2 linked regions of the Lonchura striata genome follow. The protein of the gene in region 2 purifies or fractionates together with the protein of the main gene of each other region. This does not show direct contact. Links are inferred from orthologs where the notes say so. Each region holds a gene or a part of one and is shown on either strand. Other genes may lie near its edges.

Region 1 (3,743 bases), on a different chromosome or scaffold from region 2:
AGCCTTTATGGGGCTGTGAGCACAGTGAATGGTTTCTTCAGCCTGTTGCTGCATTTCTTCCTACCTGTCTTTATCTATTTGGCACAGTATTGAGGAGGAAGAAGCCACCATCAGTCCCTAGAAGAAAGAAGTACAAATACAATGGACAGTCCAGGCATCACTGGGCAACTTTCTGGACTGAAAGAGGTTGAAGCACTGAGATGGGGAAACACAAGCAGTATCCTGGCAGTGCCACTTATCCCAAAAGACGCCTACCCTACGGGGCAGTGCTGGGAATAGGGTGTGTTGGGACTGCACAACCCAGTCTTTGCCCACATGGCTGCAGGGATGGGAATGAAGTGCTGTGCAAACATCAGGGGAGCTCTTCTGCCATGTACCCTCTGTCAAAACCGTTGGCAGCAGGGCTGGAGTGGTCTGGGGAGATGGAGCGGTGGGTCACTCCAGCCCTAATGAATGCTCATCCCGTGCAGCTGGTGTGCCAAACCACAAAGACATCTGGTGGAGCAGGTGGGCAGCAGGGCAAGGGGCTGAGCTCAGGAATGGGGCGGTGAGTTTAGGAATGAAATGGTATTCCCAGTCAATCCCCGAACAGCCATCCACTCCTCCATGGACAGGGAGAAGCTAGAGGTCTGGGAGACAAGGAGGATGCCCAGGGTTAATTCACGGGCTTCGGACTCGGCGTAACCTTCACCACTTGTCCCGCAAGGGACCAGGGAGTCTGTGGCGGTCTCTAGGTCGGGATTTAGATCCCGGGCATCCCCAGACACAAGGCGGGGCAGCCGTGGTGCCACACAGGCTCCCCCCGGGCGTACCCAGGTGCCTCCATTGGCTCCGGGTGGGGCCGCGAGTCTCCAACCTGGGGCGCGAAGCTCCCCCGACCCTGCCTCCCCCACATCCCCGACAGGAGGGGCGGGAGGGGCGGGCAGCGGCCGCCCCGCGCCGGGAGGTGCCGGACCGCCCCCGGGCCCGCCCCGTCGGCTGCCCCCGCCCCCGGCGGCCCCGCCCGGCCCGGCCCGGCCCGCGGCGGCCGGCGGAGCGCGCCCGGCGGCGGCGGGGAGCGGCGCGGATGGCAGCGGTGCTGCCGGGGACGGCGGGGCGCGGAGCCGGAGGTAATGGCGGGGAAGGAGCCGGTGTCCGGGTGTCCCCGCACGGCTGCGTGTCCGTGCGTACATGTTCGCGCACACGTGTGTCTGTGCGTGGGGGTGCGGGCGCACGTGTGTGCCGGGGAGCGCGCCGCGCTGTGCGTGGGTGCCGCGGCGGGATGGCGCTTCTCGTGCCCACCCGTGAGTGCTGCCGTGCCCGCCGCCCTCCCGGGAGGATGCGGGAAGGCCTGAGCAGCCTTCCGCCGGCTGCCGGACCCAGCGCACCCGCTGCTCCCCGGGCTGCGTGGGTGCGGGAGCGGGGCCGCGTCCGTGCTAAGCCGGCCCGACGCTCCGGTAGACCCGAGCCGCCGGCCCGGCGGCCGCCGCTGCTCCCGCTCCTCCGCTCCCGGAGTCCTCCCCGGGAATCTTCCCCGCTCCGGGAAGGCAGAGCGGCGCGGGGCGAGCCCCGGAACAGTCGGAGCGGGGTGTCTGCAGTATATTCTGCGGGAGGAACGCGCCGGGGGTCCGCCGCCCCGGCGCTCCCGGGAGGAGCGAAGCGCCGGCCGGGAGCGCGGGGAGTGTTTCCCGTTTCCGCAGCAGCGATCGCAGCGTCCCCGCGGGTCCCCAGCGCCGGGCGGTCACTCGGAGCGGCCCCGCAGCGCCCACCGGGACACCGGCCCCGTCCCGTCCCGTCCCGTCCCGCGGGTGCAGCGGGCGGCAGCGCCGGCCGCAGGGGACACGCAGCAGGGGCCTCCCACGCCGGGAGAGCGCTTTCTCACGGTGTTGTTATAGGGGGATGGCGAGAGGGAACTTTTTTTGTATTTAACCTTACTACCTATGCAGGGAACAAAGATAAACTCCGGTTAAAAAAAAAAAAAAAAAAGTCAGCATTGAAAGGAAAAAAAAAAAACCCAAAAAACCACGACGTGAATTTAACCCGAATCCTCCTGCCAGGTTTTATGATTCATAGCTTTAAGTACAGGAAGGTCGCTGCTTGGGCTTTTTCCTCTTTCGATGGAAAGAGGTTTTTTTTTTTCTTTCCTGGTGCTGTGAGAGCATCCCAGGAGCTGTGGGCAGCTGCTGTAAGAGACGAGGATCTGGTGACTGAGAGTCTGCAAGACCCTTTTTGTGCATCCACTGAGTTTGGGTTATGCCTTTTTATGTATAGAAATAAGCCTAAAAGCTTCCTGAAAGAATGGTGGCAGTGAACATGAGTCCTATGAATTTTCCTGAGCACAGCTATCTGGCAGCGCCATTCCTGCTAACAGGTGTGCATGTATATAGTTTATATATAGATATTAAATATATATCTAAATATATTTAGATGTATGTTTCTGTATTTTTATATTTTTACATATATATATAGACATATATGTCTGCATATATTGTATATAAATAAAATATAGACCATGTGTATATATTTACTTTTATACAAACAACAACAACATATATGTGTGTATATATACATAGTCATTTCTAATGGCCAGAAAAGCATTTCCAAGGGTTCTACAAATACATTATCAAGAAATGTCCAAGTGGTGGGGGCAGGGAATATTGGATTGGCAAGAGCCCATAGTAGAGCCCTCTCTGGGGCTGTGCTGGGTGCATGGCATGGCCCTCCATGGAGGGTCAATGTCCTGCCCAGCCTTCCTCATCCCCAGCCATGACTAGAGCAGTGGTGTGAGGGGATGAATTTGGGGAGGCTGGTTTTAGGTTGTTAAACAGGGGAGGTATGTGCCCCACAGTGTTGCTGGGGTTGGGCTTCTCAGTTTCCCCAGGCTGTGTGGGGGCCACTGGGACCCCCCAATCACCTGCATGTCCATTCTCATCTGTCCTGATGTTCGTTGCCCCCCGTTTTCCCTCTGTCAACATTTGGCAGGGGAAACTTTACTTTCCCTCTTCTTTTGGAAGGCGCTCAGCTGCTGGAGGAGGGCAGCTTCAATCCATAGAGGCACGTCTGGCCTCTCCTAAGCCCAGATGTCTGCAGGATTGGTGACAGGGTGAGGGCAGTTTCCAAATCCTGGCCTCCCACGGTGATCTGGACCAAGTCTCTGCACATTAGTCCCTGGATGGAGGGATGGATGCACGGATACAGCTCTGGTGCTCCTTGCAAGAGCTCCTCTGTGAGGAAACGCCAGCACAGAGCCAAAGGCTTTGCGTTTCTCCAGCAAAGACACACCTAAGGGGTTGGAAGGGATCCCAGCAGCAGCCTGGGGAGGGTCAGGCACAACCAGACTCTGTGCACATGAGTGTTTCAGGATTATGTGGAGATGTTACTGCTGACCATTGCACCTTTCCTTCAGGAAATGAAAGCCTGAGTCCACAGTACCTTTTTTTCTCACTCATAGGCGCGTAACTCGCTTTAAAGGCCAGGTCTGGTGTAAATGTTATTTGGTGCTAAGGCAGGAGTGTGTGCCCTGTGCAGCCTTCTGGTCCTGGAAACCATTAGGAGGACAGCTGCATACTTGGATTTTCACACACAGACTATCTGCTAATGTAATAGTCCCAGTGGAAAGTTTAGTGCTCGGGAATATTTTGCGGATTTGAGAAAAATCCCAGGAGGATTTTTGGTTTCATATAGCAATTGCTTTTTGGCAGCTTTGGTGTAGATGTAATCTGGTCCCCATTTATGTCCTGAATTTTTAAATGGAATGGCCTGCC
Region 2 (3,743 bases):
CAAGGGCTGGAGCCCCTCTGCTCTGGAGCCAGGCTGGGAGAGCTGGGGGTGCTCACCTGGAGAGGAGAAGCTCCAGGGAGAGCTCAGAGCCCTTCCAGGGCCTAAAGGGGCTCCAGGAGAGCTGGAGAGGGACTGGGGACAAGGGATGGAGGGACAGGAGACAGGAAATGGCTCCCACTGCCAGAGGGCAGGGATGGATGGGAGATTGAGAAGGTTCCCTGTGAGGGTGGGCAGGCCCTGGCACAGAGTGCCCAGAGCAGCTGTGGCTGCCCCTGGATCCCTGGCAGTGCCCAAGGCCAGGCTGGATGGGGCTGGGAGCAGCCTGGGACAGTGAGAGATGTCCCTGCCCATGGCAGGAGGTGGAACGGGATGAGCTTTAAGATCCCTTCCCACCCAAACCGTTCCACGATTCCATAAAAACTCACTCCTCACCTGCAAGGTGTGAAACAGCCCCATCACCCACCTGCATCCATCTATCCCCCCTCCTGCTCCAATATTCCCTGCTGAAGGACGAGCTCTGAATTCCCTCTGCATCCCCCCTGCACCAGCTCCACCACAAGGAGCCCCCAGCAGGGCCTGAGCTCCTTCCAGCTGCAGGAGTCCCTCTGCAGCAACAAGTTCTTTTGGCAGGAACCTCCCAGGAAAGTCAGCTGGAGATGCAGCAGTTCCACGGCCAAATCCCACGGGAATGCTGCACAAACCCCCCTGATCTCAGCGGGAAGTGACACCCGAAGTGACACGCGGCCACAGCACTAAAATTCACATTTATTTACTTTCCACCATCAGTTATTGCTGCAGCCTTGGGAAACCAGGGAAAACACAGCCAGGACACTCACACTCTGCTGGAAGTGGGAAGCTCACACGGCTGCCCAGAGCAAATCCTTAATCCCAAGGAAAAGCAGGAAGTCCTTCAGGGCTGAGAGCAGATTTCCAGAGCCAGGAAATCGGTGATGACAAACTCCCCTTGGCTGATGGGCGCTGGGATTCTCTCAGGGTTTGGGGCAGGATAATGAAATATAAACTATTAAATGCAGAGGTTGGAGAGGGGTTTCAGTGTTCGTGTGGCCAATCCCTCTGGATCAGCTGAAAAAGCAAAGTTTGGCAGCAACGCCCTGGGAGAACGCCTTACAAGTTCCAAGGGCCCCAAAAAGGGAAATTATCACAGAAAAGCCAGACCCAACCCCCCGGAGCATCCCTCAGCTTCATGGTGAGCTAAGAGCTCAGGAAAATGCCAAAATCCTGTCCTTGGGTGTTTGTGGAGCACCTGGGAGTTGGATTCCTGTGGATTTAAGCCTTGACACAGAGATTCCTCAAGCCCTGTGACAGCCACAGTGTAGTGGTGACTTGGGCTGGGATGGCAGGACAGCGCTGGATTAGAGCCCAAGGGAAGCTGGATTGTAATGAGAATAAAGCTGAATTATAACCAGGATAAAACTGAATTATACCCAGAATTAAGCTGAATTATAGCCAAAGTATAGGATTAATTATAACCAGAGTAATGCCAAATTGCACCCAGGACGAGATCGAATTGTAATCGAAATGAAGCCAAATAATAACCCAAATAAAGCTAAATTGCACCTGGAGTGAAGATGAATAATTGCCAAAATAAAGCTGAATTATAACCAAAGCATAGATGGATAATAACCAGAATAATGCCAAATATACCCAGGCTAAAGCAAAATTATACACAGAAAAAAAGCCAATTTATGACCAAAACAATGCTGAGTTACACACATAATAAGGACTACTGACAACAACAACTAAGCCAAACTATGATCAGAATACAACTGAATTTTACAAGCAATAAACACTGAATCACAACCAAAACAAAGCCAACTTATGACCAAAGCAAAGCCAAATGGTACCGATTCATAACCAAAGTAAAGGTGAGTTATTAACCAAAGAAAAGCCGAATTGTAGGCAGATTGTTGTGCAATTATAACGCAAATGACACCAGGATAAGGCTGATTTATAAGCAGAACAAGGCCGAGCCGCTGCCGGCCCAGGGAACCGGCGGGGGGGGCCGGGAGGGACCGGAGGGGCCTCAGGGCTGGGGGGTGGGGGCCGGGCCCTCAGCGGGACCCCGCGCCCGCGCGGGCCGTCACCTCGCAGCTGAACTCCATCTCGGCGTCCATGGTGGCGATGCGCACGGTGAAGGTCTTGGGCTGCTTGCGCTTGAGGGAGCTGAAGCTCATGCGGGACGCGATGGCCCCGGCCATGGCGGCGCGGCACGGTCAGCGCGGCGGCGGCGCCATGGCGGCCCGGCCCCGCCCCCTCCGCCCCGCCATTGGCCGCGCAGCGCGGCGCGCCCGCCCCTCCGCCCCTCCCAGCCAATAGAAATGGGTGTGCTGAAGAGGCGGGAGGAGAAGCGGCTGTGATTGGGTAGTGGGGACGTCGCTCAAGAGAAAGGGCGGGGTGAGGCGGGGCCATGAAGAGCGGCGTGAGGAAGCGATGTGGCGGGGTGGTGTCGCCCCCTGGTGGCGGGCGGAGCGCTCTGCTGGCGGGGACGAGCGCCAGGACCCGGCACCGGGACACCGGGACACGGGAGGGAGGGACACGGGGACACCGGGACACCGGGACACCGGGACACGGGGACACGGGGACACGGGAGGGAGGGACACGGGGACACCGGGACACCGGGACACCGGGACACCGGGACACCGGGACACCGGGACACGGGGACACGGGGACACGGGAGGGAGGGACACCGGGACACCGGGACACCGGGACACGGGGACACCGGGACACCGGGACACCGGGACACGGGAGGGAGGGACACGGGGACACCGGGACACCGGGACACCGGGACACGGGGACACGGGGACACGGGAGGGAGGGACACGGGGACACGGGGACACCGGGACACCGGGACACCGGGACACCGGGACACCGGGACACGGGGACACGGGGACACGGGAGGGAGGGACACCGGGACACCGGGACACCGGGACACGGGGACACCGGGACACCGGGACACGGGGATACCGGTACACGGGGACACCGGGACACCGGGACACCGGGACACGGGGACACCGGGGCACCGGGACACCGGGACACCGGGAGACGGAGAAACGGGAGGGAGGGACACAGGAGGGAGGGACACGGGGACACGGGGACACGGAGACATGGGAGTCGGGGAAACGGGGACACGGGGAAACGGGGACACCGGAACACTGGGACATGGAGACACGGGAGGGAGGGACACGGGGACACGGGAACATGGGAATCGGGGACACCGGGACACGGGAGGCAGGGACACGGAGGCAGGGACACCGGGACACAAAGACACGGGGATAGGGACACGGCGACCCCGGGACACGGGAGGCAGGGGGGATGTCAGGGGACCCTGGCGTGTCCGGAGCCCGTGGGGTGTCAGGGGTCCGCGGGGTGTCCGGGATCCAGGGATGTCCGGCGTGTCCGTGGGGTGGCCGGGACCCCTGGTCAGTGGGGTGTCCAGGGTCTGTGGGGCCCGGGGTCCCCGGGATGTCAGGGGTCCCCGAGGTGTCCGGGTGTCCGGGATTTGGGGGTGTCCGGGGGGTGTGCAGAGCCCGTGGGGCGTAAGGGTCCTTGGGGTGTCAGGGATCGCTGAGATCTGAGGGTTTTGGGGGTCCGTGAGGTCCTTGGGGTGCCCCCAGTGCCATGGGGTGTCCCCAGTGCCATGGGGTGTCCCCGCAGGACGGGGTTCCCTGGGTGACACGGGGTGCTGCCCCCTCGGTGGTTGCCGGGGCGAGGGGACCCGCGCG

The links. The genes of interacting proteins can lie anywhere in the genome.
Region 1: the proteins of NF2 (region 2) and AMOTL1 purify together in Homo sapiens (affinity purification with mass spectrometry; 6 studies listed by BioGRID and IntAct, counting the BioPlex papers as one, with this or other methods). This does not show direct contact. The link is inferred for Lonchura striata from reciprocal best matches to the Homo sapiens genes NF2 and AMOTL1.

What each region holds. Positions count from the first base shown.
Region 1 is NC_134604.1:39,569,331-39,573,073, forward strand, and holds the start of AMOTL1 (angiomotin-like protein 1), read left to right. Parts: upstream 1-1,033; 5' UTR 1,034-1,066; coding exon 1,067-1,109; intron 1,110-3,743. UniProt on the Homo sapiens protein: Inhibits the Wnt/beta-catenin signaling pathway, probably by recruiting CTNNB1 to recycling endosomes and hence preventing its translocation to the nucleus.
Region 2 is NC_134620.1:2,945,076-2,948,818, forward strand, and holds the start of NF2 (merlin), read right to left. Parts: upstream 2,263-3,743; 5' UTR 2,220-2,262; coding exon 2,106-2,219; intron 2,040-2,105; exon of another isoform or gene 837-2,039; intron 1-836. UniProt on the Homo sapiens protein: Probable regulator of the Hippo/SWH (Sav/Wts/Hpo) signaling pathway, a signaling pathway that plays a pivotal role in tumor suppression by restricting proliferation and promoting apoptosis.